Linked DNA regions of Anolis sagrei. The protein of the gene in region 1 purifies or fractionates together with the protein of each later gene. This does not show direct contact. Links are inferred from orthologs where the notes say so. Each region holds a gene or a part of one and is shown on either strand. Other genes may lie near its edges.

The links.
Region 2: the proteins of LIN28A (region 1) and DKC1 purify together in Homo sapiens (affinity purification with mass spectrometry; 3 studies listed by BioGRID and IntAct, with this or other methods). This does not show direct contact. The link is inferred for Anolis sagrei from reciprocal best matches to the Homo sapiens genes LIN28A and DKC1.
Region 3: the proteins of LIN28A (region 1) and TRIM71 purify together in Homo sapiens (affinity purification with mass spectrometry; 3 studies listed by BioGRID and IntAct, with this or other methods). This does not show direct contact. The link is inferred for Anolis sagrei from reciprocal best matches to the Homo sapiens genes LIN28A and TRIM71.
Region 4: the proteins of LIN28A (region 1) and CDC5L purify together in Homo sapiens (affinity purification with mass spectrometry; 3 studies listed by BioGRID and IntAct, with this or other methods). This does not show direct contact. The link is inferred for Anolis sagrei from reciprocal best matches to the Homo sapiens genes LIN28A and CDC5L.

Annotation. Positions count from the first base shown.
Region 1 is NC_090034.1:73,558,719-73,566,279, forward strand, and holds the start of LIN28A (protein lin-28 homolog A), read left to right. Parts: upstream 1-4,545; coding exon 4,546-4,576; intron 4,577-7,392; coding exon 7,393-7,561. UniProt on the Homo sapiens protein: RNA-binding protein that inhibits processing of pre-let-7 miRNAs and regulates translation of mRNAs that control developmental timing, pluripotency and metabolism.
Region 2 is NC_090030.1:15,196,715-15,203,855, reverse strand, and holds the start of DKC1 (H/ACA ribonucleoprotein complex subunit DKC1), read right to left. Parts: upstream 3,008-7,141; 5' UTR 2,920-3,007; coding exon 2,901-2,919; intron 1-2,900. Other genes in the region: 40-kDa huntingtin-associated protein-like, read left to right, coding at 4,416-5,453.
Region 3 is NC_090026.1:81,420,146-81,426,982, reverse strand, and holds the start of TRIM71 (E3 ubiquitin-protein ligase TRIM71), read right to left. Parts: upstream 3,010-6,837; 5' UTR 1,780-3,009; coding exon 718-1,779; intron 1-717.
Region 4 is NC_090021.1:147,842,988-147,850,190, reverse strand, and holds the start of CDC5L (cell division cycle 5-like protein), read right to left. Parts: upstream 3,003-7,203; 5' UTR 2,903-3,002; coding exon 2,858-2,902; intron 1-2,857.

The DNA.
Region 1 (7,561 bases):
TTGACACTTTTTTTTGCTTTCTTCAATAGTTACACTTCTAAATGAGCCCGGGTTCAGTGTTGTTTTTTGGCCACATGGGAAAAATTGCCATTAAAAGGAACCCTTTCCCTTTTAAATGAATAATCCGGATTTCAACTGTTAATCCTCCGAATCTATACTGCCATATAATGCGGTTTGAAACTGCATTACACAGACAGTGTGGAGCCATAGAATACAGTTCTATGCACTGATCAGATGACTCAACTTTATTATATGCAGGTATATAGAATCACTGAGTTGGAAGAAACCTCATGGGTCATCCAGTCCAACCCCCTGCCAAGAAGCAGGAAAATCGCATTCAAAGCACCCCCGACAGATGGCCATCTCTATACACTAGTATATTATATATATCTCAATACACAAGCATGTGTATATATATTGCATTATATGTAATATAATATATAATTTTATCATATAATATGTATACATATTATATCATACATATAATCTTACATATATATATTTATATATATATATGTGATGCATATATGTGATATGATATATAATATTGTATATTATATTATTATATTATATATATATTATATTGTATATTATAATATCATATTGTATATTATATTATTAATGTATGTATATATATTATATCATAATATTATCTATCTATATATGGGTTGTTGTAGGTTTTTCGGGCTATATGGCCATGTTGTAGAAGCATTCTCTCCTGACGTTTCGCCTGCATCTATAGCAGGCATCCTCAGAGGTTGTGAGTTCTATATATGGTTTGAACAGAGCACGTCACTCCTACATTATATATATGTATGTGTGTGTGTGTGTGTATAATTTAGGAGTGACGTGCTCTGTTCAAACCATATATAGAACTCACAACCTCTGAGGATGCCTGCTATAGATGCAGGCGAAACGTCAGGAGAGAATGCTTCTACAACATGGCCATATAGCCCGAAAAACCTACAACACACACACACACACACATATATATAATGTAGGAGTGACATGCTCTGTTCAAACTATATATATATATATATATATATATATATACACAATTTAGGAGTGACATGCTTTTTTCAAACCATATATATATAGGCTGTTGCAGGTTTTTTCAGGCTGAATGGCCATGGTCTAGAGGCATTCTCTCCTGACGTTTCGCCTGCATTCAGGAGAGAATGCCTCTAGACCATGGCCATACAGCCCGAAAAAACCTACAACAACCCAGTGATTCCGGCCATGAAAGCCTTCGACAATACATACATACATATATATATATATATATACACACACACAGACACACACATTAATAATATAATATACAACATTATCTTATAATATTATATATTATATATAATGATGCAATTATTATTATTATACAATATTATATATGATATCACATTGCATATATATATATAAAAATATAATGTCATATACATTTTGTATAATAGATATTACAATACATGCATAATGTATATGATATTTTATATATAGCATATTATAACATTATATATACACTACCAAACTGCATTCGTTTGGTTAGATGCACGCTAAACTACCACACGGACAAAAACATGTGTTTGCTTTACATTCGCCTTAGGGCCAGATCGCCTTAAAGAAAAAGGCAAGAAATGCAATGTTTTGCAAAGGTATTTACCTCCATAACCCCTCCCCTCCCAAAGAATCCCGGTTTGGATATGTTTAGAACAGGCTTGGGCAAATATATATATATATATAGAGAGAGAGATAGAGAAAGAGAGAGAGAGATAGAATATTTATCTACCTATCTATAAAATATTATATAATTATAATTATAATTATAATTATAATTATAATTATATATATATATATATATATATATATATATATATGTATGTATGTATGTATATATATAGAGGGAATATCTATCTATATAATTAGATAATATTATATATATTATATATATAATATACAGATAATGTATATATCTATTTGTATGTATATATAGAGGGAATATCTATATAATATTATATATAATTATATATATTATATATTATAATAATTAATATATATAATATAATATAATATAATATAATATAATATAATATAATATATACTTATATATATATTACTAACCATCCCCTGCCACGCATTGCGGTGGCCCACTCTGGTGGTCATGAGGGTTCTGAGTGGGAGGCTTGGCCCAATTCTATCATTGGTGGGGTTCAGAATGGTCTGTGATTGTAGGTGAACTACAAATCCCAGTCAAGATTCTATTTTCCCCAAACTCCATCTGTGTTTACATTTGGGCATATTGAGTATTCGTGTAGAGTTTGGTCCAGATCCATCATTGTTTGAGTTCACAGTGATCTCTGGATGCAGGTGAACTACAACTCCAAAACCAAAGGACACTGCCCACCAAACCCTTCCAGTATTTTCTGTTGGTCATGGGAGAACTGTGTGCCAAGTTTGGTTCAATTCTATCGTTGGTGGGGTTCAGAATGCTCTTTGATTGTAGGTGAACTATAAATCCCAGCAACTACAACTCCCAAAGGACAAAATCATTTTGTTTGAGTGAAGGACATACATTGGGTTGTTAGGTGCTTTGTGTCCAAATTTGGTGTCAATTTGCCCAGTGGTTTTTGAATTCTGTTAATCCCACAAACAAACATTACATTTTTATGTATATAGATTAATCATAGAATCATAGAATCATAGAATCAAAGAGTTTGAAGAGACCTCATGGGCCATCCAGTCCAACCCCCTGCCACTATTACTATTATTATTATTACTATTATTATTATTATTATTATTATTATTATTATTATACATTATATAATAATTATTAGATAATATTATATATATATACACACACATATATATAGATAGAGCGAGAGAGAGGGAATATCTATCTATATAATATTATATATAATTATATATTGTTATTATACATTATATAATAATTATTAGATAATATTATCTCTATAAATAAAAATGTAATGTTCTTTTGTGGTATTCACAGAACTCAAAAACCCCTGGATGAATTGGCACCAAATTTGGACACAATACACCCAACAACCTTTCACTCAAAAAATTTTGATTTTGTCATTTGGGATTTATAGTTCACCTGCAATCAAAGAGCATTCTGAATCCCACCAAGGATGGAATTGAACCAAACTTGGCACACAGTTCTCCCATGACCAACAGAAAATAGTGGAAGGGTTTGGTGGGCAGTGTCCTTTGGTTTTGGAGTTGTAGTTCACCTACATCCTGAGAACACTGTGGACTCAAACAATGATGGATGTGGACCAAACTCTACACAAATACCCAATATGCTCAAATGTGAAAACTGGTGGAGTTTGGGGAAAATAGAATCTTGATATTTGGGAGTTGTAGTTGCTGGGATTTATAGTTCACCTACAATCACAGAGCATTCTGAACCCCACCAATGATAGAAATGGGCCAAACTTCCTACACAGAGTTTGGTCCACATCCATCATTGTTTGAGTCCACAGTGTTCTCAGGATGTAGGTGAACTACAACTCCAAAACCAAAGGACACTGCCCACCAAACCCTTCCAGTATTTTCTGTTGGTCATGGGAGAACTGTGTGCCAAGTTTGGTTCAATTCCATCCTTGGTGGGGTTCAGAATGCTCTTTGATTGCAGGTGAACTATAAATCCCAGCAACTACAACTCCCAAATATCAAGTTTCTATTATCCCCAAACTCCACCAGTGTTCACATTTGAGCATATTGAATATTGCTGTAGGCCACAGCAATGCGTAGCAGGGGACGGCTAGTATATATATGTGTGTGTGTATGTGTTTATTAGTATGTATGTATGTAGTTTTCCACTCGACAAGTACATCTCCCTCCATGGATGAAGTTCTGTGTGGACACATCTCCCTTCTTTGGAGGTTTTGAAGCATCGGTGACCATCTGTCGGGGGTGCTTTAATTGTGCTTCTCCTGCCTGGCAGAAAGGGGTTGGACTGGGTGGCCTTTGGAGGTCTCCTCCTTACTCAAGGGTTCTGTGAGTCGAAACAGACAGACGTCAACACGAGGGTGGCAGAAAGGAGCCACAAGGGGCAAGAAGTTGCCTTCCACCAGAAAGGAAAAGGAGGGTACAATTCAATCCCAAGCTCCAGCCCTTCTCTCCCATCTTCTCTCCCATCTTATCGCCTCTAATAGGGCGAGATGTGTGTGTTTGTAGGTTGAAAGAGGAGGCCCAAAAGGAGGAGGGAGAAGCCAAGGGGAGGAGGGAGGGCTTGACTATTGTCTCTCCAAAATTTGGGCAGCCCCCACCCCTACCCACCCCCCAAGGCCCTCCCACCGCTATTGTGGATTGAAGATGCGCCCGACCTGCTCCTCCTCCTCTTTCCTTTGGGTTTGAATCTCCCACCGCCTTCTTGCGCCTTCCCTTTCCTCCTCCCTCCCTCCCTCTCTCTTTTTCTCTCCCCCCTTCTCTATTCCCAGGCTGGCTGTGGGCAGAGAAGAGGAGGAGGAGGAGGAGGAGGAGGAAGAGGCTGCGTCCTCCCGACTCCACCATTTCCACCGGGTCGGCAGGATGGGCTCGGTCTCCAACCAACAGTTTGCAGGTTAAGTGAACGTTTTTGCCTCTGGGGATCCTGCTCTTTTCCTTCTTCCCTTCTTTGCCTTCCCTTCGCTCCCATCCCTTTCCTCTCCTCCAGGAAGGAAACCCACCCTGAGTTTGGGTTTCTCCGACTCTTGGCCCCCTTTTCCCTTCTTCTTTTTGGGAACGAGGGAAGAGGGCGGCCGGGCTACTTGGTTGCAAGGCAGACCATGTGCTTTTGCCTTCCTCCTCCTCCTCCTCTTTCTCCTTCTTCGACGGAGCTTTGGGAATCTTCCTCAACGGAACACAAACGAAAGGAAAAGAGGAGAGATGAAAGGCAAAAGGCATCCTCTTCCCCGACCCCGACCTTCGAGCATCCCTGTATTTTGTGTGGGTGGGTTTCCTTCTCCCACAAAGGAGGGGTGCCCCCGTTTCCCCATTTTGAGGGCTCTCGTGGGAATCCTTTGGGAAGGAGTTCTCGTCTTTCTGGAGAAGGGAATCCCCACTCTTTGAACCCATTCCTTCCGAGCGGAGCTTGGCACGGGCTTCTTCTGTCCCAGGCGGGTGAGGAGGAGGAGAACCCCCACTTGGCTGGGTCTCGGGGTCCAAGCGCCCTTCAACCTCTTCCTCCTCTTCTTCTCCTTCCTCTCCTTCCTTTTCCGCTTACTCTCCATCCTCCTCTTCTTCCTCCTCTTGTTCTTCTCCTTTTTACCTTCTTCTTCCTTTTCCACTTATTCTCCTTTATCTTCCTCCTCTTCCTTCTTCTCTTATTCCCATCTTTCATCTTCTCCTTCCTCCACTTCTCCCTCTTCTCCTTCCTCTTCCCCTTTTTCTCTTCCTCTTATTCTCCTTTATCTTCCTCCTCTTCCTTCTTCTCTTATTCCCATCTTTCATCTTCTCCTTCCTCCACTTCTCCCTCTTCTCCTTCCTCTTTTTTTCTCTTCCTCTTATTCTCCTTTCTCCTCTTCCTCCTCCTCTTGTTTTTCTCCTGCCCCGTCTTCCTCTTCTCCTTCTTTCACCTTTTCCTCCTCCTTCCTCTTCCGCATATTCTCCTTCCTCCTCTTCCTCCTCTTGTTCTTCTCCTTTTTACCTTCTTCTTCCCCCTCTTCTTCTTTTTCCTCTTCCCCTTATTCTCCTTTATCTTCCTCCTCTTCCTTCTTCTCTTATTCCCATCTTTCATCTTCTCCTTCATCCACTTCTCCCTCTTCTCCTTCCTTTTCTCTTTTTTCTCTTCCTCTTATTCTCCTTTCTCCTCTTCCTCCTCCTCTTGTTTTTCTCCTTCCCCGTCTTCCTGTTCTCCCTCTTTCACCTTTTTCCTCCTTCTTCCTCATCTTCCTCCTTCTCTTGTTCTTCTTCCTTTTCCCTTCTTCTTCCCCCTTCTTCTTTTTCCTCTTCCCCTTATTCTCCTTTATCTTCCTCCTCTTATTCCCATCTTTCATCTTCTTCCTTCCTCTTCTCCTTCATCTTTTTCCTCTTTCTCTTATTCTCCTTTCTCCTATTCCTCCTTCTCTTGTTTTTCTCCTTCCCCCTTCCTCTTCTCCTCTTCCTCTTATTCTCCTTCCTCATCTTCCTCCTTCTCTTGTTCTTCTCCCCTTTTCCTTCTTCTTCCCCCTTTTCTTCCTCTTCTTCTTTTTCCTCTTCCCCTTATTCTCCTTTATCTTCCTCCTCTTCCTTCTTCTCTTATTCCTATCTTTCCTCTTCTTCCTTCCTCCTCTTCTTCTTCATCTTTTTCCTCTTCCTCTTATTCTTCTTTCTCCTCTTCCTCCTTCTCTTGTTCTTCTCCTTTTTCCCTTCTTCTTCTTACCCCTCTTCTTCTTCTCCTTCTTCTTTTTCCTCTTCCCCTTATTCTCCTTTATCTTCCTCCTCTTCCTTCTTCTCTTATTCCCATCTTTCCTCTTCTTCCTCCTCCTCTCCTTCGTCTTCCTCCTCTTTTTCCTCTTCCTCTTATTCTCCTTTCTCCCCCTCCTTCTCCACTTGTATTCTTCTTTCCCCGCCTTCCTCCCCCTCTTCTCCCTCTTCTCCTTCTTTCACCTCCTTCCTCTTCTTCCCTTCCTTTCTCCTCTTCTCCTTCATCTTTTCCCTCTTCCTCTTATTCTCCTTTCTCCTCTTCCTACTCCTCTTGTTCTCCTTTCCCCCCTCTTCCTCTTCTTCCCCCTCTTCTTCTTTCGCCTCTTTCCTCCTTCTTCCTTCCTCCTCTTCTCCTTCCCCTTTTCCTTTTCTTCCCCTTTCTCTCCCTCCTCTTCCTTCTCTTATTCTCCTCGTCTTTCCTTTTCTTCTCCATCTTCCTCCTCTCCTCCTCCTCTTCTCCCTCCTTTTTCCTCTTTCTCTTATTTTCCTTTCCTCCTCCTCCCCTTCTTTTTCTTTCCTTTCTCCTTCCTCTTCTCCCTCTTACTCCTTCTCTTATTCTTCTATTTCCTGGTCTTCTCCTTATTATTCTTCCTACTTATTTTCCTTCCTCTTCTCCTTCCTCTTCCTACTCTTTTCCTCCATTTATTCACCTTCTTTCTCCTCTTTCCTCTCCTTTTCCTCCTTTTCTCGATCTTATCCTTCCTCTTATTCTCCTTCCTCTTCCTCTAATTTTTCTCCTTCTCCTTTCAACTCTTCCTCTTTTCCTCTTCTCCTTCCTCTTCCTCCTCTTTTCCTCCTCTTATTCACCTTCTTTCTCCTCTTTCCTCTTCTTTTTCTCCTTCCTCTTCCTATTCTTCCTCTTATTCTCCTTCCTCTTCCTCTAATTTTTCTCCTTCTCCTTTCAACTCTTCCTCTTTCCCTCTCCTTCTTTCCCTCTTCTCCCTCCGGCGTGACCCTCTTCCAACGGGGCTCTCCTCCCTTGCTCCTCCGCAGGGGGCTGCGCCAAGGAGGGTGAGGAGGGGCCCCGGGGGGACTCTCCGCTCCCCGAAGAGGACAGCCAGCCGCTCCTCCGCGGCGCCGGCATCTGCAAGTGGTTCAACGTGCGAATGGGCTTCGGATTCCTCTCCATGACCAGCAAGGAAGGCGCCACCCTCGACGCCCC
Region 2 (7,141 bases), on another chromosome or scaffold:
CTAAAGCTCCTGCTCTTACCACTTGCAACTGTCATTCAGCTTCTACAAGATCAGCAACATTGGTAGGAGCAGAAAATAAAAGCATGGAAAGCACAATGGGAGCCACCTTCTACCAGAGGGAATGGAATACATAGACTATCCACAAGGCAATGGCAGCAGCTGCTACAGACTAAAAACTTTGGGGGCTACTTTTTTCTCTGCTCTCTCTATATATATGCAACAATGCAGTTATTTAAATTGCAATATCATACTTGCATTGTTACAAGAACACTTTTTAATGCTGCAATACAATAATAATACATTTTTTGTTCCTGGGTTATAAATGTCATTTCCTGATTAGTTCTATCATAAAAACATGAAAAAGGTGTGTTATTATTATTATTATTTTGACGGAGATCCTGCAGATTATTTTGCTATAGGTTTTCAACTAATATCTTACATAGTCTCAACCAATTCCAGACAGTTTCTGGAGTAGAACAACTCTTTTCAAAGACCGCACAATTAAACTAGAAAGAACACTTTCAAATCAGGGGCAGATTTTTTTTTTCAAATTTTGTTACATAGTGTACTGTTAGCAGTTGCCGCCATCAATCTTCCATGTGCTTCAGGGCTTTGGCATGAAAGTGGAAAAGGGCGCAATACAATCCCGCTCAAAGCATTAGACGCAAACATGTGGAGGATAGTAGTTTGGCCATCCACAGATTCTGAACGCAGGGACAGATGTTTTGAAAAAATATGTTTTGAAAAGTCAAACTTTGGTTTTAGTGTTTTATAGATGAGACATGCCATTTACATAATGAAGCTTGAACATTTGAACCTATAGAATATTTATCCATCTATCTCTTTCAGACATGGGCCAACTTGGGCCTTCCAGGTATTTTGGTCTCCAACTCCCACTGTTAGGAATTGTGGGAGTTGAAGTCCAAAACACCAGGAGGGCCAAAGTTAGCCCTTGCCTGATATATAGCGTCTGTCTGTCTGTCTGTCTGTCTGTCTATCTATCTATCTATCTATCTATCTATCTTACTATCTATCTATCTATCTATCCATATCTGTCTATGATATATATCTCTATATCCCTACAGTCCTTCCCAAAACAGACTCTTAGGCTCTTACATCCAATCTATATAAATAAAAATGTCATGTTCGTTTGTGGGATTAACATAACTTAAAAAATCACTAGATGAATTGACACCAAATTTGCACACAAGACACCTCTCAGGCCAATTCTATTATTAGGAAAGAATACTAATAATAATACAAACATAAAAGAATAGTAATAACTAGATGTCCCCTGCCATGCGTTGCTGTGGCCCAGCCTGTGTAGATGTGTTTTGAGTGTGTATATATTTGTGTGTATGTGTATATATGTGTGTTTGCATATATATGTGTGGTTTTAAGCATTTGTTGTAATGTGTTTTTTGGCTTTTTAAGTCTCTTGTGTGTGTGTTTTTAGTGTTTTATGAGTGATGGTCACTCGTTGGCCTGAGAGGTGTATTGTGTCCAAATTTGATGCCAATTCATCGAGTGGTTTTTGAGTTATGTTAATCCCACAATCAAACATTACATTTTTATTTATATAGATGTACATGCAAAATGTGAATATGTGTGTTTGCATATATGTGCGTGTGTGGTTTTGCGCCTGCATTGTAGTTTTTGGCTTTAAAGCCTCTTCTGCTGTTTTTCAGTCTTTTTTTAGTGATGGCCACTCGTTGGCCTGAGAGGTGTCTTGTGTCCAAATTTGGTGTCAATTCATCCAGTGGTTTTTGAGTTATGTTAATCCCACAAACGAACATTACATTTTTTATTTATACTAGCCATCCCCTGCCACGCGTTGCTGTGGCAAACATGGGAGTTCTGTGTGGGAAATTTGGCCCAATTCTATCGTTGGTGGGATTTCAGAATGCTCTGTGTTTGTAGGTGAACTATAAATCCCAGTAACTATAACTCCCGAATGTCAAGATTCTATTTCCCCCAAACTCCACCAGTGTTCACATTTGGGCATATTGAGTATTCGTGTAGATTATTTGTGCCAAGTTTGGTCCAGATCCATCATTGTTTGTGTGCACAGTGCTCTCTGGATGTAGGTGAACTACAACTCCAAAACCAAAGGACACTGCTCACCAAACTCTATTTATTATTTATTTAAAAGTTTTGTATACCGGCCTTCTCACCTCTCTTGAGGGACTCAGACCTGTTTCCAACCATAATATCACATACAATCAATAAAACATCATAATACATATTACAGTAAAACATTAAAACAGCAATTACAATCAATAACTATAATGGTCAGTCGTGGCACTAAAAATACCCTTCCAGTATTTTCTGTTGGCCGTAGGAGTTCTGTGTGCCAAGATTGGTTCAATTCCATCACTGTTGGGGTTCAGAATGCTCTGTGATTGTAGGTGAACTATAAATCCCAGCAACTACAACTCCCAAATGACAAAATCAATTTCTTTGAATGAAGGACCTACATTGAGTTGTTCGGTGTCTTGTGTCCAACTTTGGTGTCAATTCGTCCAGTGGGTTTTGAGTTATATTAATCCCACAAATGAACATTACATTTTTATTTATATAGCTATTATTACTACTATTCTTTCTTCTCATCAAAAAGACCCAAAGTACCCAAGGCCTGGTTGCAACGCCTTCTTTGTATCTCCTCGCCCCATTGACTGAGGAGGAGAAAGCCTAAGCTGCTCCTCCCTTTGTGGCCCTGATAGGGAAGATGGCAAGGCTACCTCTGAGCATACATGGAGTGCTTCCCCTCCCTTTGTGGCCCTCACAGGGCTGCTTCTGAGCATGCTTCCTCTCAGACCCAGGGGGGAAGCGCCCTCCTCCAATTCAACAAAAGCCTCCTCCTGCCCTGACTCTTAAACTTTAAACAGCAAGGAACCCACCTGCGCCACCGTCCGCCATCTTGCCTCCGCCACGCGCTGCCTCTGGAGCACGCTACACCCGCGCGCTCACTCCGGCCGGAAAGGGACGCCACGCCCACTTCCGCTCCCGAGAGGCAACGCGGCACCAGGGCGGGCTGGAAACAAACTGGCCAGAGGGATCCACAACGCCCCTAGTGGCCACGCCGGAAATTGCACCCTCATTATTTATTTATCAGCAACCAGACATTTGTATTACAAGGTTCTTGTGGGTTTTTTCGGGCTATAGGGCCATGTTCTAGAGGCATTTCTCCTGACGTTTCGCCTGCATCTATGGCAAGCATCCTCAGAGGTAGTGAGGTCTGTTGGAAATAGGACAATGGGTTTATAGATCTGTGGAATGGCTGGGGTGGGGCAAGGAGCTCTTCCCTGCTGCAGTTAGGTGTGAATGTTTAGCTGATCACCTTCATTAGCATTTGAAGGCCTGCCTGAACCTGGGAAAATCTGTTGCTGGGAGGTGTTAATCTGTGCCTGGTTGTTTCCTCTCTGTTGTTTTGCTGTTATAATTTTAGAGTTTTTTAATACTGGTAGCCAGACTTTGTTCATTTTCATGGTCTCTTCCTTTCTGTTGAAATTGTCCACATGCTTGTGGATTTCAATGGCTTCTCTGTGTAGTCTGACATGGTGGTTGTTGGTGTGGTCCAGCATTTCTGTGTTCTCAAATAATATGCTGTGTCCAGGCTGGTTCATCAGGTGCTCTGCTATGGCTGACTTCTCTGGCTGAAGTAGTCTGCAGTGCCTTTCATGTTCCTTGATGCGTGTCTGGGCAATGCTGCGTTTGGTGGTCCCTATGTAGACTTGTCCACAGCTGCATGGTACACGGTAGACTCCTGCAGAAGTGAGAGGATCCCTCTTGTCCTTTGCTGAACGTAGCATTTGTTGGATTTTCTTGGTGGGTTTGTAGATAGTTTGTATGTTGTGTTTCCTCATCAGCTTCCCTATGCGGTCAGTGGTTCCCTTGATGTATGGCAGGAACACCTTTCCTCTTCGACAATACATTTGTATTACATTTTTAACAAAAACAAACAGACAGACAAAACATAGAATTTGCAAGCTTGGTAGTTGATTAAATGTCCAAAGGACATTTAACATAGTACCAAACTCAGAAGTGTTGTATTTTATCTGTTTTTTTGCTTTGTTCTGTTAGAAATGTAATATAATTGACTGGTTAATCTGACATGACAAATAAATATGGGGTGATTTGAATGCAATATTCCTGCTTCTTGGCAGAATGGGCTTGGACTGGATGGCCCATGAGGTCTCTTCCAACTCTAGGATTCTATGATTCAGCCTGTGCTAGGCCCTCCTCTTAGTCCAAGAGCTCCCTCTCATCACTATAGCAACACACTCTTAGCCACGCCCCCTTCTTAACATCCGAGTCCTCCAGTGCGAGAGCGTGTCGTCACATCCCGTCCGGACCGGAAGCGCGCCTCCAGTGTTGTTTTGGCATCCCTGAGGGAAGGAAGGGAGGAAGGGAGAATGCTGTCTGTTCCAGGCTCCGGCCCGCCTCCGGGCTTCGGTTCGGGGGAAGGCGGCAGCGGCGGGGCGGGCGGAGACTTCTTGTCCCGCTACCGGGCGGTGTCGGCCAAGCTTCGCCGCCGCTTCCTCCGCAAGCCCAACGTGTCTGAGGCGGCGGAGCAGTTCTGGGCCTTGGCTCGGGAGCTGCGCGCCCAGGAGAGCCTCCCCCACGCGGCCTGGTGCCAGCTGGCGGTGGCGCGCTGCTCGCAGAGCCTGGGCCACGCGCCGGGGGAGGCGGCGGCGCTGACGGAGGCGGCCCGGCTGTGGCTGCGGCACGAGCGGGAGCTGCGCCTCCGCCAAGGCGGGCCTGCCTCCGCCGCGCTGGGCCTGGCCGAGCACCACCTCCCGGCCGCCCAGAGCTGCCTCGCCTTCGCCGCCCGACTCCGCCTCGACCTCGGGCAGCCCGCCCTGGCCGCCGGGCTGTGGCTCGAGCTGGGCGAGGAGCTGCGCGGCGCCGGGGAGGCCGCCCAAGCCGTGGCCGCCTTCCTCCGCGCGGGGGAGCTCCTGGTCTTGGCCCAGCTGCCCCTGGAGGCGCTGCGGGCACACAGCCAGGCTGCCTCCTGCCTCCTCCTCTGCGGGGACCACGATGGCGCCCTCGCCCTGCTCACTAAGGCCCAAGGACAGGCCCAAGGCGCCTCTGCTGCTTCTCCTGCTTCCATTCAGCAACTCCCAGGCACCTTCTTGGACGAGCTGCTCCGCTGCGAAGTCACCCGCGTCCTCCTCCTGCTCTTGCTCCAGCCGCCGCCTTCCAAACTGCTCCCCGAACATGCCCAGACCCTGGAGAAGTACTCCTGGGAGGCTCTGGATGCCTCACCCAGCTACATCCCTGCCGAGCTCTACCTGCTGCTCCAGTCTACCGTCATGGCCTGCCAGGAGAAGGACCTGGAGGCCCTCAAGGCCCTGCAGAAGGAGCTCTGGCCGCTCCTCAGCCCTGAGCAGAACCACCTCCTCCATTTGGTCCTCCAGGAGATGATCCGGCCTTCAGGGCAGGGCTTCTAGGCCTGGATCTAGAACGATGGCTTCAGACTGCAGGGTGGGAATGCCTGAGCCCAAGAGCACACAGAACAGAGGCTGCAGCAGGTGGCATCCCCACATCCTAGGAAACACTAAGGCCCAAGGCGCCTCTGCTTCTCCTGCTTCCGTTCATCAACTCTCAAGGCCCTGCAGAAGGAGCTCTGGCCACTCCTCAGCCCTGAGCAGAACCACCTCCTCCATTTGGTCCTCCAGAAGATGATTCAGCCTTCAGGGCAGGGCTTCTAGGCCTGGATCTAGAACGATGGCTGCAGACTGCAGGGTGGGAATGCCTGAACCCAAGAGCACACAGAACAGTGGCTGCAGCAGGTGGCATTCCCACATCCTAGGAAACAGGTCCTCAAAGGGCCCACAGCCAGGCCGCCTCCTGCCTCCTCCTTTGCAGGGACCACGATGGCGCCCTGGCCCTGCTCACTAAGGCCCAAGGCGCCTCTGCTTCTCCTGCTTCGATTCATCAACTCCCAGGTGCCTTCTTGGATGAACTGCTCCGCTTCGAAGTCACCCGCGTCCTCCCCCTGCTCTTGCTCCAGCCGCCACCTTCCAAGCTGCTCCCCGAACATGCCCAGACCCTGGAGAAGTACTCCTGGGAGGCCCTGGACGCCTCGCCCAGCTACATTCCTGCCAAACTCTACCTGCTGCTCCGTTACACTGGCCCTCAAGGCCCTGCAGAAGGAGCTCTGGCCACTCCTCAGCCCTGAGCAGAACCACCTCCTCCATTTGGTCCTGCAGGAGATGATCCGGCCTTCAGGGCAGGGCTTCTAGACCTGGATCTAGAGCGATGGCTTCAGACTTCAGGGTTGGCATGTCTGAGCCCAAGAGCAGACTGAATACTGATCGTAGCAGGTGGCATCTCCACATCCTAGGAAACGGGTCCTCAAAGGGAGATGAGGAAAAGAATGAGCACTCACAGGGGATAATGGAAGTGTGAGCCCTCACACATCTGGACAGGGCTGGGCTGTGTGTTTCCACTGGAATAATAATAATAATAAAGTTTTATTTTAACCTGCCCTCTCTCCCTGAAGGGATTCAGGATGGCTTCCATAAACAAAAATGGCAAACATTCAATGTCGTGTACAGTATTGAAATGAAAACATTGAAACATACAATTAAAGCAGTTTAAACATCTTTGGCTAAAAGCATCTAAGTCAGTCAGCCAGGCCCCATAGATTGATTTATTTATTTACAGTATTTATATTCCGCCCTTCTCACCCTGAAGGGGACTCAGGGTGGATCACAGAACATGTATATGGCAAACGTTCAATGCCGATTATACAGTGACAAGACAGACAACAGACAGAGGTATTACATAGACTTTTCCCCATTTCTTCAGCATCTTTGGAGGCTGTGCTTGGTTCCTGCCACAAGGGGTGCTGTTTTTCCATCTTGCTGAAGAGCTTTTTGTGTTTGTAAACTTTTCTCTGAACACTGTGCCTAAAATACCTCCCCGGTTAATGTGGTTCCTATTTATCTACTCACATTGCTGTTTTCAATTTGTTAGATAGGCGGAGAGCTTGGCTGAAGGTCAGGAACTCACCCTGATCCAGCTTCAAACTGTCAGCCTTTCAGTTGGCAAGATTTACTGCAGCTGGTGATAAACTTGCTGTGCTAAAGCCAGTTTAATAGATAATACAATTAAACCATTAAAATCTGTATAA
Region 3 (6,837 bases), on another chromosome or scaffold:
TTGGGAATGGTGGGAATTAAAGTCCAATGCTGAAGCAGCTGAGGAGGAAAAGCAAAGGGCCTGAGGCTGTTGGGAATGGTGGGAGTTGAAGTTCAACATTTAAGCGGCTGAGGGGGGAAAGGAAAAGGTCTGAGGCTGTTGGGAATGGTGGGAATTGAAGTCCAATGCTGAAGCGGCTGAGGAGGCAAAGGAAAGGATCTGAGGCTGTTGGGAAGGTTGGGAGTTGAAGTCCAACGTTTAAGTGGCGGGGGGGGGGGGGAAGGTAGAGGTCTGAGGCTGTTGGGAATGGTAGGAGTTGAAGTCCAATGTTTAAGGGCATGAGGGGCAAAAGGAAGAGGGGTGAGGCTGTTGGGAATGATAGGAGTTGAAGTCCAAAGCTGAAGCGGCTGAGGGGGAAAAGGAAAGAGTCTGAGGCTGTTGGGAATGGTGGGAGTTGAAGTCCAAAACACCTGGAGGACCCAACTTGGCCCATACCTCATATATACCACAACACAGAACAATAAGTGTCGTGACACGCCTCTCCACAAGCCTATGAGGAGGCCTTCGGGTGGACCCTAAGTTGGCCTCAGGGTCGCCATAAGTGAGGCAAGCTTCGAAGGCGAACACTTTGCCCCCACGCGCTTCACAACAATAGTAATGCTGAGGAGAGGCCTTCGCAGCCTGAGGCGCGTTGAGGGAGGGGGCAAAGTGGGGTCTCTCTCTCTCTTTCTCTCTTACCTCGTCGTCGTGCTGCTGGCAGTAGCTGGCCCGGTCCGGGAAGGCGGCGGCGAGGATGCTGTAGGGCGAGCCGAGGGCCGAGGCGGGCCCCACGGAGGAGGAGGACGAGGAGGAGGCGGCGGCGGCGACGAGGCTCTGGCTCTGCGGGGCGGCGCCGGGCCCGAAGCGCTCGATGAAGTGGTCCTTGGTGAGGCGGACGCGCTGGTGGGCGCGCACGCAGTTGTCGCAGAGGTGCTCCTGGCAGTCGAGGCAGCGGGCGCTGGCGGCGTTGCCTTCGTCGCAGGAGCTGCACCGGGGATCCCCGCCTTGGCGGCTGTGCGGCCTCCGGAGCAGCAGCAGCGACGACGAGCCCGGGGATGAAGCCCCTGCGCTGGCGGAGGAGGAGGAAGAAGAAGGCGGGCGCTGCTGCTGCTGTTGCCGGGAGTGTTGGTGGTGCCGGTTGTTGTTGGCGCTGCTGCTGCTGTTGTTGGTGCTGTTCCCCCCTCCTCCTCCTCCGGGCCCCCCTCCGGGCCCTCCCCCGGGTCCGCTGGGCCTGCCGTTGTTCTGCTCCTCGCTGGCGTTGTTGGCGTTGTTGGCGGCGGCGACCACGACGTCGAGCAGGTTGCTGAGGAGGAAGTTGGAGGAGGGCAGGGCGTCCATGCCCGACGGCTCCGAGATCACCACCTTCTGGTCGCAGAGGGGGCACCGCAGCTGGAGAGGGGCGTCCCCCGAGGAAGAGGAGGAGGAGGAGGAAGAAGACGAGGAGGAGGAGGAGGAAGACGAGGAAGAGGAGGAGGAGGGCGGGGGCTGGCGCTGGGCCTCGAGGCACTGCCGGCAGAAGGCGTGCAAGCAAGGCAGAACCAGCAGGCGCCGCCGCGAGGACGAGGAAGAGGAGGAGGAAGGGCAGCTCGCGCCGGGCCCACCACCAACAGGGTTGCCACTTCCTCCTCCTCCTCCGGAGGTCTGCGACGAGGAGGAGGAGGACGACGACGAGGAGTTGTTGCAGGAGGCCGGCGCCGGCGAGCCGCACATCTCCTTGCACAGCGGGCAGATCTGGAAGTGCGGCTCCGGGAAGGAAGCCATGGGGGAGGGGGAAAGGGGAGGGGAGGCTAGCTAGACCCCTCTCGGAGTGGCATTAAGATCCCCACCTCTTCCTCCTTCAGCTTCTTGGGGCGCTCTCGCAATTGCCGCTTTCTATCTCTCTCAAGCTGTTCCTTGAGGCGAGCGAGGAAGCCCCGTTTTGCAGACCCCTGGGTGTGCCATCAAAGGAGCCCACCCCCTCCCCCTCCTCTCCTTCGGCTTCTTGGGGCACTCCCGCTATTGCTGCCTTCTGTATCTCTTTCAGGCTGTTCCTTGAGGCAAGCGAGGAAACCCCGCTTTGCAGACCCCTCGGACTACCATCCAGAAGACCCTCACTCTCTCCTCTCTTCCTCCTTCAGCTTCTTGGGGCTCTCTCGCACTTGCCGCTTTCTGGATCTCTTTCTCAAGCTGTTCCTTGAGGCTAGCGAGGAAGCTCCGCTTTGCAGACCCCTCGGTGTGCCATCAAAGGGACCCCCCCCCCCTCTCTTCCTCCTTCAGCTTCTTGGGGCGCTGTTGCAATTGCCGCTTTTCTCTCTTCTTCCTTCAACTTTTTGGGGCGCTCTCACGGTTGCCTCTTTCTGTGTCTTTCTTTCAGGCTGTTCCTTGAGACTAGTGAGGAAGCCCCGCTTTGCAGACCCCCCTTCCTCTCTCCTTCAGCTTCTTGGGGCGCTCTCGCAGTTGCCTCCTTCTGTGTCTCTTTCACGCTAATAAGGTAACCCCGCTTTGCATACCCCCCGGAGTAGCATCCAGAAGACCCCCACCCCCTCCTCCTCTCTTCCTCCTTCAGCTTCTTGGGGCGCTCTTGCAATTGGATCTCTCTCTCAAGCTGTTCCTTGCTTGCAGACCCCTCAGAAGACTCCCACCCCCCTCCTCTCTTCCTCCTTGGGGGGCTCTTGCAGTTGCCGCCTTCTGTATCTCTCTCTCAGGCTGTTCCTTGCTTGCAGACCCCTCACAAGACCCCCTCCCCCTTCTCCTCCTCTCTTCCTCCTGCTTGTGGCGCTCCCGCAGTTGCCGCCTTCTGTATCTCTTTCGAGCTGTTCCTTGAGACTAGCAAGGAAACCCCGCTTTGCAGACCCCCCGGAGTGGCATCAAGAAAGACCCCCACCCCCTCCTCTCTCCCTCCTTTAGCTTCTTGGGGCGCTCTCGCAGTGGCCGCCTTGGAGGCCTCTCTCTTTCAAGCCCTTCCTCCTCCTTCCGGGAGGAACAGTCCATCAGGTCTGTCGCCTTGTCTTCGTCCGGGGGCGGGGGGTCGTTGCCTTCACTCCTCGCTCTTCGGGGCTCCCTGCACGAGGCTCGGGTGGGAGGAGGGCTCGGGCGGGACTCCAATCCCCTTCCGGCCCCGCATGGCCGAGAAAAGGAGCAAAGAAGGGAGCCGGCAGCAGCTTCTTTCCTTCCAAAGGCAATGAATGAATGAATGGATAAGGCGAGCAGCGTGACCTCAGGCTAGGGCTCTTTCCAGCCCCGCATGGCTGAAGCAGGGAGCGAACACGGCAGCCGGCAGCAGCTTCTTTGTATTGTCGAAGGCTTTCCTGGCCGGGATCATGCTTCAAAACATGGCCAGGCAGCCCGAAAACCCACCAAAGCCGCCGGGTGGGTGGATGAATGAATGAATGAATGGACAGACGAGCAGCGTGACCTTACGCTACCACTGCTCTTCCGCCACCCCACGCCATTCCCGCTTTGGCACTGACGAGGCCTTCTCTTCTTCCTCCTTTTGGACCCCACGCGCTTCCTCTTCCTCCTTCCAAGAGACAAGCCTCCTGCCTTGAAGGAGAATAATTCTTATTCATGGAGGACGCGGAAAGCGGGGGAAGGGAAAAGAAGTGGGGGGAGTGCGTGTTTGCGAAACCGGTCCCGGCCTCAGGATCGCGTTTCCTTTGTCAGATCCCTTTTCCTCGCGTGGTGGCGGGAGTTTGGTTTCAAACCCTCCCTTCACGTTTTGGAAACAAAAAGGTCGGATCAAAAATCCACAAGGGAGGAAAGGTGCGTGGTATTTGCGCCATTAGCCTCCTCCACTCCCTTCAGGCTTTTTATTTCTTTGCTCCTTCTGTTGCCCCTTCTTTCCTTCCTCCCCCTTTTCTCCTTCCCTCTTGTGGATCCAGCGGAGGATCTCCTTCCCTTTCTCCCCCCCCCCCCCCCGTGCCTTTCTCTCGCCCGCTTTTGGGCCAGAATGCCTCGCGTGAAACTGATCCCAAGCACGGAATCCTTTGAATCTCCGAAGGAGCGGACCCACTTCCGCCGGAGCTCAAGGAAAGGGAGGGAAAGAGAGGAAGGAAGGAAAGGGGAGGCTGGGAAAGCCAACAGGAAACTTCCACCCTCCTCTTAGGTCCAAGGTCTTCCTATTGTGCGTATTCCCAAATGGGGAAGGCGTCTCATAGGGAAGTCCCGTCCACACCACGTTTCGTAACCCGGTTTCGTTCCGGCTTAAAACGAATTTCGTTAGTGGACTTCCCCCTCAGCCAAAGCACCCTCTTTCCCACACTTTGTGACCAAGGGCTCTCTCTCCTTAGGAGGAAATCCCCTCGCTTTCCCTCTTTTTCTTTTATCCCAGAGTCACAATATGGGTGAATGCTGAATTTGGGTTGCTGTGAGTTTTCCGGACTGTTTATTTATTTTATTTATATTTGTACCTCGCCTTTCTCAACCCCCCGGAAGGGGGGGGGGACTCAGGGCAGCTTCCAGCTGGCAACAATTATAATAAAATACATAATAAAATCAAATAATTACATACATTTAAAACATTAAATCACATTAATTAATTAAAATGTGTTTCCATAACAGCCTGGTGGCTTTCTCTGTAGTTTGTCCATAGTCTATTTCCATAGCGATTGTCATCATTGTCAGCAATATTACCCAAAAGCCTGGTCCCACATCCATGTTTTTAACTTTTTTCTAAAGGAAAGGAGGAATTTTGATAATCTAATTCTGCAGACAGGGGGCCACCACCAAGAAGGCCCTGTCCTTCCTCCCCACCAAGCTCGTTTGCGACAGAGGCAGACCGAGAGCAGGGCCTCCCCAGAAGATCTTAAACTCCAAGGTGGGATGTAGAAGGAGATACGTTCTGACAGGGCCAGAACCGTATAGGGTTTTATAGCCATGTCCCAGAAACATTCTCTCCTGAAGTTTCACCCACATCTATGGCAGGCATCCTCAGAGGTTGTGAGGGCTGTCGGAAATTAGGCAAGGGAGGTTTATCTGTCTGTTAAAGGTCCAGGGTGGGAGAAAGATTAATTGCAACATCCACACTTGCTTAGAAGGAGATACATCTGCACAGGTACGCAGTAAAGTAACCGCTTTGAGTCGCCTGAGGGCTGAGAAAAGCGGTATATAAATGAAGTAAATAAGTAAATAAATAAAGCAAGAACAGACTTTCTTGCTTTACTGCTCTGATGTTGGAGTATTTTTAAATACTGGTCGCCAGATTTTGTTCATTTTTATGGTTTCCTTTTCATAGCTTTTCAATGCAAATAGAGGTGGCCAATTGCAGCATTCACACTTGCCTCAAACAGACAAGAGTTCTTTCTTTCACCCTGGACATTCCACAGATATATAAAACTCACTAACTTAGTTTCCAAAAGACCCCTCAATTCTGAGGATGCCTGCCATAGATGTGGGTGAAACTTCAGGAGAGAATGCTTCTGGAACATGGCCATATAGCCCAGAAAACTCACAGCAACCCAGTGATTCTTACCATGAAAGCCTTCAAGAACACTTTGTGCAGTTTGATAAACTTTTCCCATTTTTAGTATCCAACAAACCTCACAACCTCTGAGGATGCCTGCCACAGATGCAGGTGAAACATCAGGAGAGAATGCTTCTGCAACATGACCATACAGCCCAGAAAACTCTCAGCAACCTAGTGATTCCAGCCATGAAAGCCTTTGACAACACAATGCTGAATTTCTGTGTGTGTATGTGTGTGTTTTCAAAATTCACATTTGGACACTGTTCATTACAAATGGAAGTGTGGCTACTGGCTATATAATTTCATATACACATATTTGCTGAATGGGAGAAAGAACCATCCAATCAAGAGTAAGAGGCAATTATTTTAAAAGTATTTGGATGTGGGAAAGAGAAAATATTTATTGCAATTTTCCTTTACTACAAGTAATTATTTTGGAAAATGGATATTCAGAACCTTTTGGAAAGGCATGCCCTTGTTGTTTGTAAACTATAATCTTCCTAAGAAGAGTTAGGTTTATTTATTTATCATGTCAGGGGCAACCAGACAATTACATTTCTAACAGAACAAAACACAAAGTTTGCAAGCTTGGTAGTTGATTAAATGTCCTTTGACCAGTATCTGGCCACTTGGAGTGCCTCTGGTGTTGCCGCAAGGAGGTCCTCCATTGTGCATGTAGCAGGGCTCAGGTTGCATTGCAGCAGGTGGTCAGTGGTATGCTCTTCTCCACACTCGCATGTCGTGGATTCCACTTTGTAGCCCCATTTCTTAAGATTAGCTCTGCATCTCGTAGTGCCAGAACACAGTCTGTTCAGTGCATTCCAAGTCGCACACAGAAAAGTTAGGTAAAAGTAATTTTTTTCCTCTGACATTAAGTCCAGTCGTATCCAACTCGGGTGCGGTGTTCATCTCCATTTCTAAGCTGAAGAGCTAGCATTGTCTGTAGATACCTCGAAGGTCATGTGGCCAGCATGACTGCATGGAGCGCCGTTACCTTCCCGTCACAGTGGTACCTATTGATCTACTCACATTTGCATGTTTTCAAACTACTAGGTTGGCAGAAGCTGGAGCTAACAGTGGAAGCTTACCCCACTCCCCTGATTCGAACCTGCGACCTTTTGGTCAACAAGTTTAGCAGCTCAGTGGTCTAACCCACTGTGCCACTGCGGGCTCCAGTTAAAAGAGTTAAAACTAGCTTAACTCAACCTTCTCCTTAGTGGCAAAGATCCAGTAGTATTCATGCAAAGCAACTTAGGTTTCTCAGCTGTCACACTGATATACCTAGATACCTCTTTGAACTGTTAGGGACAAAGATATGCCAATGCACAAAAACATATTGCAGTGTTTCAGAAGTGTTATTTCAGTTGCCCAAAAAC
Region 4 (7,203 bases), on another chromosome or scaffold:
TCTAATTGTAGTGTATAATTGTAATTGTTTGTATTGGCATTGAATTTTTGCCATTATTTATGTCTAAACCGCTTTGAGTCCCCCTCGGAATGAGAAAAGCGGTATACAAATACTGAAAATAAATAAATAATAAATTAAGTACTAATTAATTAAGAGTAACACAATTTTATTTATTTATTTAATTAATTTACTGGGTTTTTATACCGTCTTTCTCAGCCAAGGGCAAGTCAAGACGGTTCACAATCGGCAGCAACTCGATACCATAATAACAGGATATACAGTTAAAAACAATTATTTAAAAAGTTATAAAACAGTTCAACATTAAAAATATAAAAACCATAATATTTATAAAAATAAGTCCTCAACATCTCCTTACTGAAATCGTGATCCAATTGCATCATCAGACATTCCATGATACATTTTCATCTAATCATGCTCCAGTAGTAAAAGCCTGCTCGAACAGCCAGGTCTTAACCATTTTGCAGAATATTAGAAGGGAGCTGATCTTATATCTCTGGGGAGGACGTTCCATAGCCGAGGGGCTACCACTGAGAAGGTCATGTCTCTTGTCTCCGCCAAACACGTCTGTGATAAAGGCAGGATCAAGAGCAGGGCCTCCCCAGATGATCTTAAAGTCAACGTGCTTCAAACACATCTAAACCTCAAACCAAACATTTGCAGGTGTTTTACAGATCATATCATTAAACAATTCCTGTAGAAAATGGGACCTGTGGATTTCTCAAAGGTCTGTTATGTTTAGAGATTATTGTTAATGTTGCATTATTTTATTGTCCATGTTTTGTTTTATTTTAATTGCTTGTATTGTTATTATTGCTTGTATTGTTGTATTTGGGCTCGGCCTCATGTAAGCCGCACCAAGTCCCTTGGGGAGATGGTAGCGGGGTACAAATAAAGTGTTGTTATTATTATTTAGAGATGCTCTAAAGTTAAAAGTGAGAATAAGGTGACCAAATTTGCAGATAACACTCAAGATTCAATGCGGTCTCTATTTCCCCAAATCTATTTATATAATAAAAGTGTATGTATATGTATGTGGGTGGGTCTGTATGTTTGTGGCAAACTTCCAATTGGCTCCCACTTCCAGAGACCACTGCAATCCCACCAATGACAGATCTGGACCAAACTTGACACACAGAACTCTGGTGACCAACAGAACATACTGGAGGGATTTGGGGGGACTGACCCATCCAGGTGGGAGTTGTAGTTCACCTTGCATCCTGAAAGCACTCTGAATTGCACTGATGATGGATCTGGAACAAACTTGGCACACAGACCCAAAACAGCCAACTTTGAATACTGGCAAGGTTTGTGGCTTAATGACCTTGGAATCCGAGAATTATAGTTCACCCACATCCAGTGAAAACCATATCCAGATGGATGATGGATCTGGACCAAACTTGGCATGCAGACCCACCGTGGTCAATTCTGAACACTGGCGAGGGTTGGGGGTGATTGACCTATAATAATAAATAATAATAAAAATTTATTTATACCTTGCTACCATCTCCCCAAGGGACTCAGTGCGGCTTACATGAGGCCAAGCCATTACATCAATAAACAAAGGCAATAACAAAACAATCAATACAAAAACAGTTAATATAAATCTCATAAACAAAAAATAAACAACAACACACAAGCATTTAAAAACTTATGGCTGGGGCAAACGTAATAACTTAATTTTTAAAAAAATAATGCTATGATTTTTGGAACTGTAGTTCACCCATATCTTGATGCATTTTCTAAAAAAAGGAAAGACGGTCTTTTCTCCCAATAAATAGCGTTGCAAATGACCAAACTGATATTACCTCACAATCAAAAAAAAAAAAAAGCCTTTTTCCTGACTGCATTTCTGTATAAGAATTCACACGATCTCTTCATTCATCTGGTGAGGCCCTGCTCATGATCCCACCTGTTTCACAGGAGCGATTGGTGGGGAAGAGGGACGGGGCCTTCTCGGTGGTGGCCCCACGACTCTGGAACTCCCTCCCCAGGGACATCAGGCAGGCCCCAACATTGGCAGTCTTTAGAAGGAGCTTGAAAACGTGGATGTTCCAGTGTGCCTTCCCAGAATAAGGAATCCTAGCAATATGTCCTCAATGCACTTTATGAGAGATCCAGAACTGCCTGCACGTCCACCTTTCCAAAAACATTCCTCCTATCCCCTTTAAACTTCCCAGCTTTTAACTATTAAAACTTTCACATTTGGCCCTGCCTTATGTTTTAAAATGTGTTGTGTCATTATTGTATTGTTTTGCTTTTTTGAGTTATTTATCGTTTGCTGTTGTTGTTTTTTATGATGTTGTTGGGCTTGGCCTCTTGTAAGCCACACCGAGTCCTGCGGGAGATGGCAGCGGGGTATAAAAACAATAAATAATAATAATAATAAAATAATAACACGGGCATTGCTGAGTACCCAAACTAGCAGGAAATAAAGCTGCAAATGACAGAATCGTAAATTGGAAGAGACCCCAGGGGCCTTCTAATCCACCCTCATTCTGCCATGCAGGAGAAGCACAATCAAAGCAGCCCCGGCAGATGGCCATCCAGCCTGTTTCTATGCTTCCAAGACACTCAGACGCAGAGAGTTCCACTGCTGAACAGATATTACAGTCAAGAAGTTCTTCCTAATGCTGAGGAGGGACCCCCTTTTCTGTACTCCCCCCCCCTTGCAGCCTCAACTGGGTTTCTTTTGAGGAGGGTGAAGACTGAGGCTTATGAGGTGCCTCTGAAGGGTCTTGGCCTAGCGCGGCAAAGAGCCTGTTTTGGGCGCAGCCGTGTGAGAGAACCCTCCCCCGGGAGGAGAACGCCGTGGCGGGTTCGAGACTGCTTTCCCTACCTCGGTGTTGCGCCACACGCCCCCTTTGATCATAATCCGCGGCATCTTGGCGGCGAGAGAGGGCGAGAACGCAGCTGAGGCGACGGGCAAACGGCTGCGAGGCAAGAAGTCAGGCCTCAGGCTGCGCGCGCAGTCCCCTCCGTCACCGGAAGCCGACGGAAGAGAACGTTGCCGCGCGGGGAAGGGAGGGGGCGCCGTTTCCCCTGCGCATGCGCACTTGGATCTCCCTCCTTGTCCCCTTTCAAAGTGCTTTTGCTCGTCACAGAAGAAAGATTGTCTTTAATCCGGACTGTCCTTCTCGTGTTTCCCCTTCCACACAGCTCAATACAATCCCACATTTTCTGCTTTGAACAGTGGCAGTGTAGACTCAGCTAATCCAGTTCAAAGCAGATACTGTGGGATTTTATGCCTTGATATTCAGGGATATAGGGCAGTGTGGAAGGGCACCTTATGGTTAAGAATTTTTATTTATTTATCGTGTTAGGACCAGCCACTGTGTATCATGTTATGACCAGCCACCGCCAGAAGGGACAGAGTTTCATCTATGCTGATGATCGTGCCATTACTGCTCAAGCAGGGAGCTTTGAGATGGTTGAACAGAAGCTCTCTGAAGCTCTAGGTGCCCTTACCGCCTATTACAGGGAAAACCAGCTGATCCCTAACCCATCCAAAACACAGACATGTGCCTTTCATCTCAAGAACAGAGAAGCATCCCGAGCTCTGAAGATCACCTGGGAAGGAATCCCACTGGAGCATTGCAGCACACCCAAATACCTGGGAGTCACTCTGGACCGTGCTCTTACCTACAAGAAGCACTGCCTGGATATCAAGCAAAAAGTGGGCGCTAGAAACAATATCATACGAACGCTGACTGGCACAACCTGGGGATCACAACCAGATACAGTGAAGACATCTGCCCTTGTGCTATGCTACTCTGCTGCTGAGTATGCATGCCCAGTGTGGAACACATCTCACCACATTAAAACAGTGGATGTGGCTCTTAATGAGACATGCCGACATGCCGCATTATCGCGGCATTATCACAACTTAAATCTAGACATAGTTTTCTAAGATCTACAGAGACACTCGCTGGAACACCTCAGCAAGCGAGAGCTCGAAAGTGGCAGGCTCAAACCCAGAACCTCAACCAATGGATGTTACCAAATGAGAGACTCCCCCCCCCCCTGGGCACACAGAGGACTGGGTGACTTGGAAGGCGCTGAACAGACTGCGCTCTGGCACCACGAGATGCAGAGCCAACCTCAAGAAATGGGGCCACAAAATGGAATCCTCGACATGCGAGTGTGGAGAAGAGCAAATCACTGACCACCTGCTGCAATGCAACCTGAGCCCTGCTACAAGCACAATGGAGGAGCTTTTTGCAGCAACACCAGAGGCACTCCAAGTGGCCAGATACTGGTCAAAGGACATTTAATCAACTATCAAACTCGCAAATTTTGTATTTTGTCTGTTTGTTTGTTTGTTTTGTTCTGTTAGAAATGTAATACAATTGACTGGTTACCCTGACACGACAAATAAATAAATCGTGTTAGGAGCAGACCAAACAGCTGGATTGCATTTTTTAACAAACAGACAAACAAACAAAACACAAAGTTTGCAAACTTGATAGTTGATTAAATGTCCTTTGACCAGTATCTGGCCACTTGGAGTTCCTCTGGTGTTGCTGCAAGAAGGTCCTCCATGGTGCATGTAGCAGGGCTCAGGATGCATTGCAGCAGGTGGTCTGTGGTTTGCTCCTCTCCACACTCGCATGTCGTGGATTCCACTTTGTAGCCCCATTTCTTGAGGTTGGCTCTGCATCCCGTGGTGCCAGAGCGCAGTCTGTTCAGTGCCTTCCAAGTCGCCCAGGGGGGGAGTCTCTCATTTGGTATCAGCCACTGATTGAGGTTCTGGGTTTGAGCCTGCCACTTTTGGACTCCCGCTTGCTGAGGTGTTCCAGCAAGTGTGTCTGTAGATCTTAGAAAACTGTTTCTTGATTTAAGTCATTGACGTGCTGGCTGATATGCAAACGGGATGAGCTGGAGATGTCACTGCCTTGGTCCTTTCACTATTGTTTGCTACTTCCTGGCGGATGTCAGGATGTCAGGTGGTAAACAGTGTAATTTCTCCAGTGGTGTAGGGTTAAGATGCCACACTGCCACATCCCACACAAAGCAACTCACTCCCAAATGTGATGCTCCTCATGCCCTTTGGAGACCTGAAGTAATATTAAGAGTTTGGAAATATTAAACACAAGCCGTCCCCTGCCCCGCATTGCTGTGGCCTAGTCTGGTGATCTGGAAAATAAAGTAATGAGAAAGTGTTGGTTTCTAATATCTAATTTCTTTATGCTTGTGGGTAAACAGTATTTCTTGCTGTTTCTTTGTCAGTGTTGATGTGGAGATTGTCTGGTTTGCCTACTCTGGAATATGCAACATATCATTGTCCTTCTTTAGGGGTTCCTTTTAAATCTATGATACTATATCTGTGTGTGTGTGTGTGTGTGAATCATATCTATCTATCAATATCTATGGCTGGGTGGCACTTTGATTACGTTTTCTTGCCCTGGTGAAGGGAGTTGGACTGGATGGCCTTAAGTATTTTCTGTTGGTCATGGGGGTTCTGTGTAGGAAGTTTGCCCTAATTCTGTCATTGGTGGGGTTGAGAATGCTCTTTGATTGTAGGTGAACTATAAATCCCAGCAGCTACAACTCCCAAATGGCAAGGTTTATTTTCCCCAAACTCCATCTGCGTTCATATTTGGGCATATGGAATATTCATGCCAAGTTTGGTCCAGACCCATCATTGCTTGAGTCCACCGTTCTCTCTGGATGTTGGTGAACAACATCTCGCAAAGTCAAGGTCAGTGCCCACCAAACCCTTCTAGGGTTTTCTGTTGGTCATGGGAGTCCTGTGTGCCACGTTGGGTTAAATTCCATCATTGGTGGAGTTCAGAATGCTCTTTGATTGTAAGTGAACTATAAATCCCAGTAGCGACAACTCCCAAATGGCAATGTTAATTTCCCCCAAATTCCATCTGTGTTCATATTTGGGCATATGGAATATTCATGCCAAGTTTGGTCCAGATCCATCATTGTTTCAGTCCACAGTGCGCTCTGGATATTGGTGAACTACAACTCCCAAACTCAAGGTCAATGCCCACCAAACCCTTCTAGTGTTTTGTGTTGATCATGGGAGTCCTATGTACTATGTTCGGTTCAATTCCATCATTGGTGGAGTTCAGCATGCTCTTTGATTGTAGGTGAACTATAATTCCCAGCAACTACAACTCCCAAATGATAAAATCAATTTTTTGAGTGAAGGACATACATTGGGTTGTTAGGTGTCTTGTGTCCAAATTTGGTGCCAATTCCCCCAGTGGTTTTTGAGTTATGTTAATCCCACAAACGGACATTACATTTTTATTTATATAGATGAAGTCATCCTTTGAAAACTTCCCTAAGGGCTCTATATCCCAGAACATCAAGGCAGAAAATCCCACTTTATCCAAGTGTGAACTCAGATATCCCAATTTCAAAGCAGATATTGTGGAGTTTTCTGCTTTAATATTCTGGGATAAAGAGCTGTGTGGAAGTGAAGGGACATAGATGCAGGGACACTCCAAATGCACAAGCTTATGAGTCCACTCATTGGCCCAATGTAGCCATAAGTTGGATTCTTACTACAAAAGCTTTATTGCGGGCCTAGCAATATCGACAAAGAAGCATACAGGAATGCAATCAAAGGGTTTGTCGCAATTCCATTGGGACTGCAGGGTTTTTATCATTTTTGGCACGTACATTCTCATTGGTTCCCAAAGACAAATAATTTCATTGGTCTAAGATAGCTCGATGGTTCCTCATTGGTGGTTTATGATTTTGATTGACATAATAGCACACGTGGGATCCTAACAATGCCACAACTATAGAAGAACTATAGTCCATTGTTCTCTGACCATGACTGTCTTAATGAATCAATTTATCTGTTAGTCGGTTGCCAACATGACTCCAGAGCTACTGGGAAACTTGGGAGTTCTAACTAGCCACCAGCTAGTTGGAACGGATGTACTGTTATCCTTGAATAGTAACTTCTTCTCTGGAGCACTGATTTCTCAATCAGCATTTTTTGTAAACATAGGCATACTGCAGAAATAGGGCAATGTGGCAGTGAATGAGCATATGAGCATTGGAACATCTCTGAAAATTCCCTTTTAAAACTACGTCTCCTCCAGAAGGGCCCCCACATGATCTGTTTTGAACTGGAATAGATGACTTAGGGCCCTTCCACACAGACATAGAACCCAGGATATCAATGCAGAAAATCCCACAATATCTGGATTATTTATT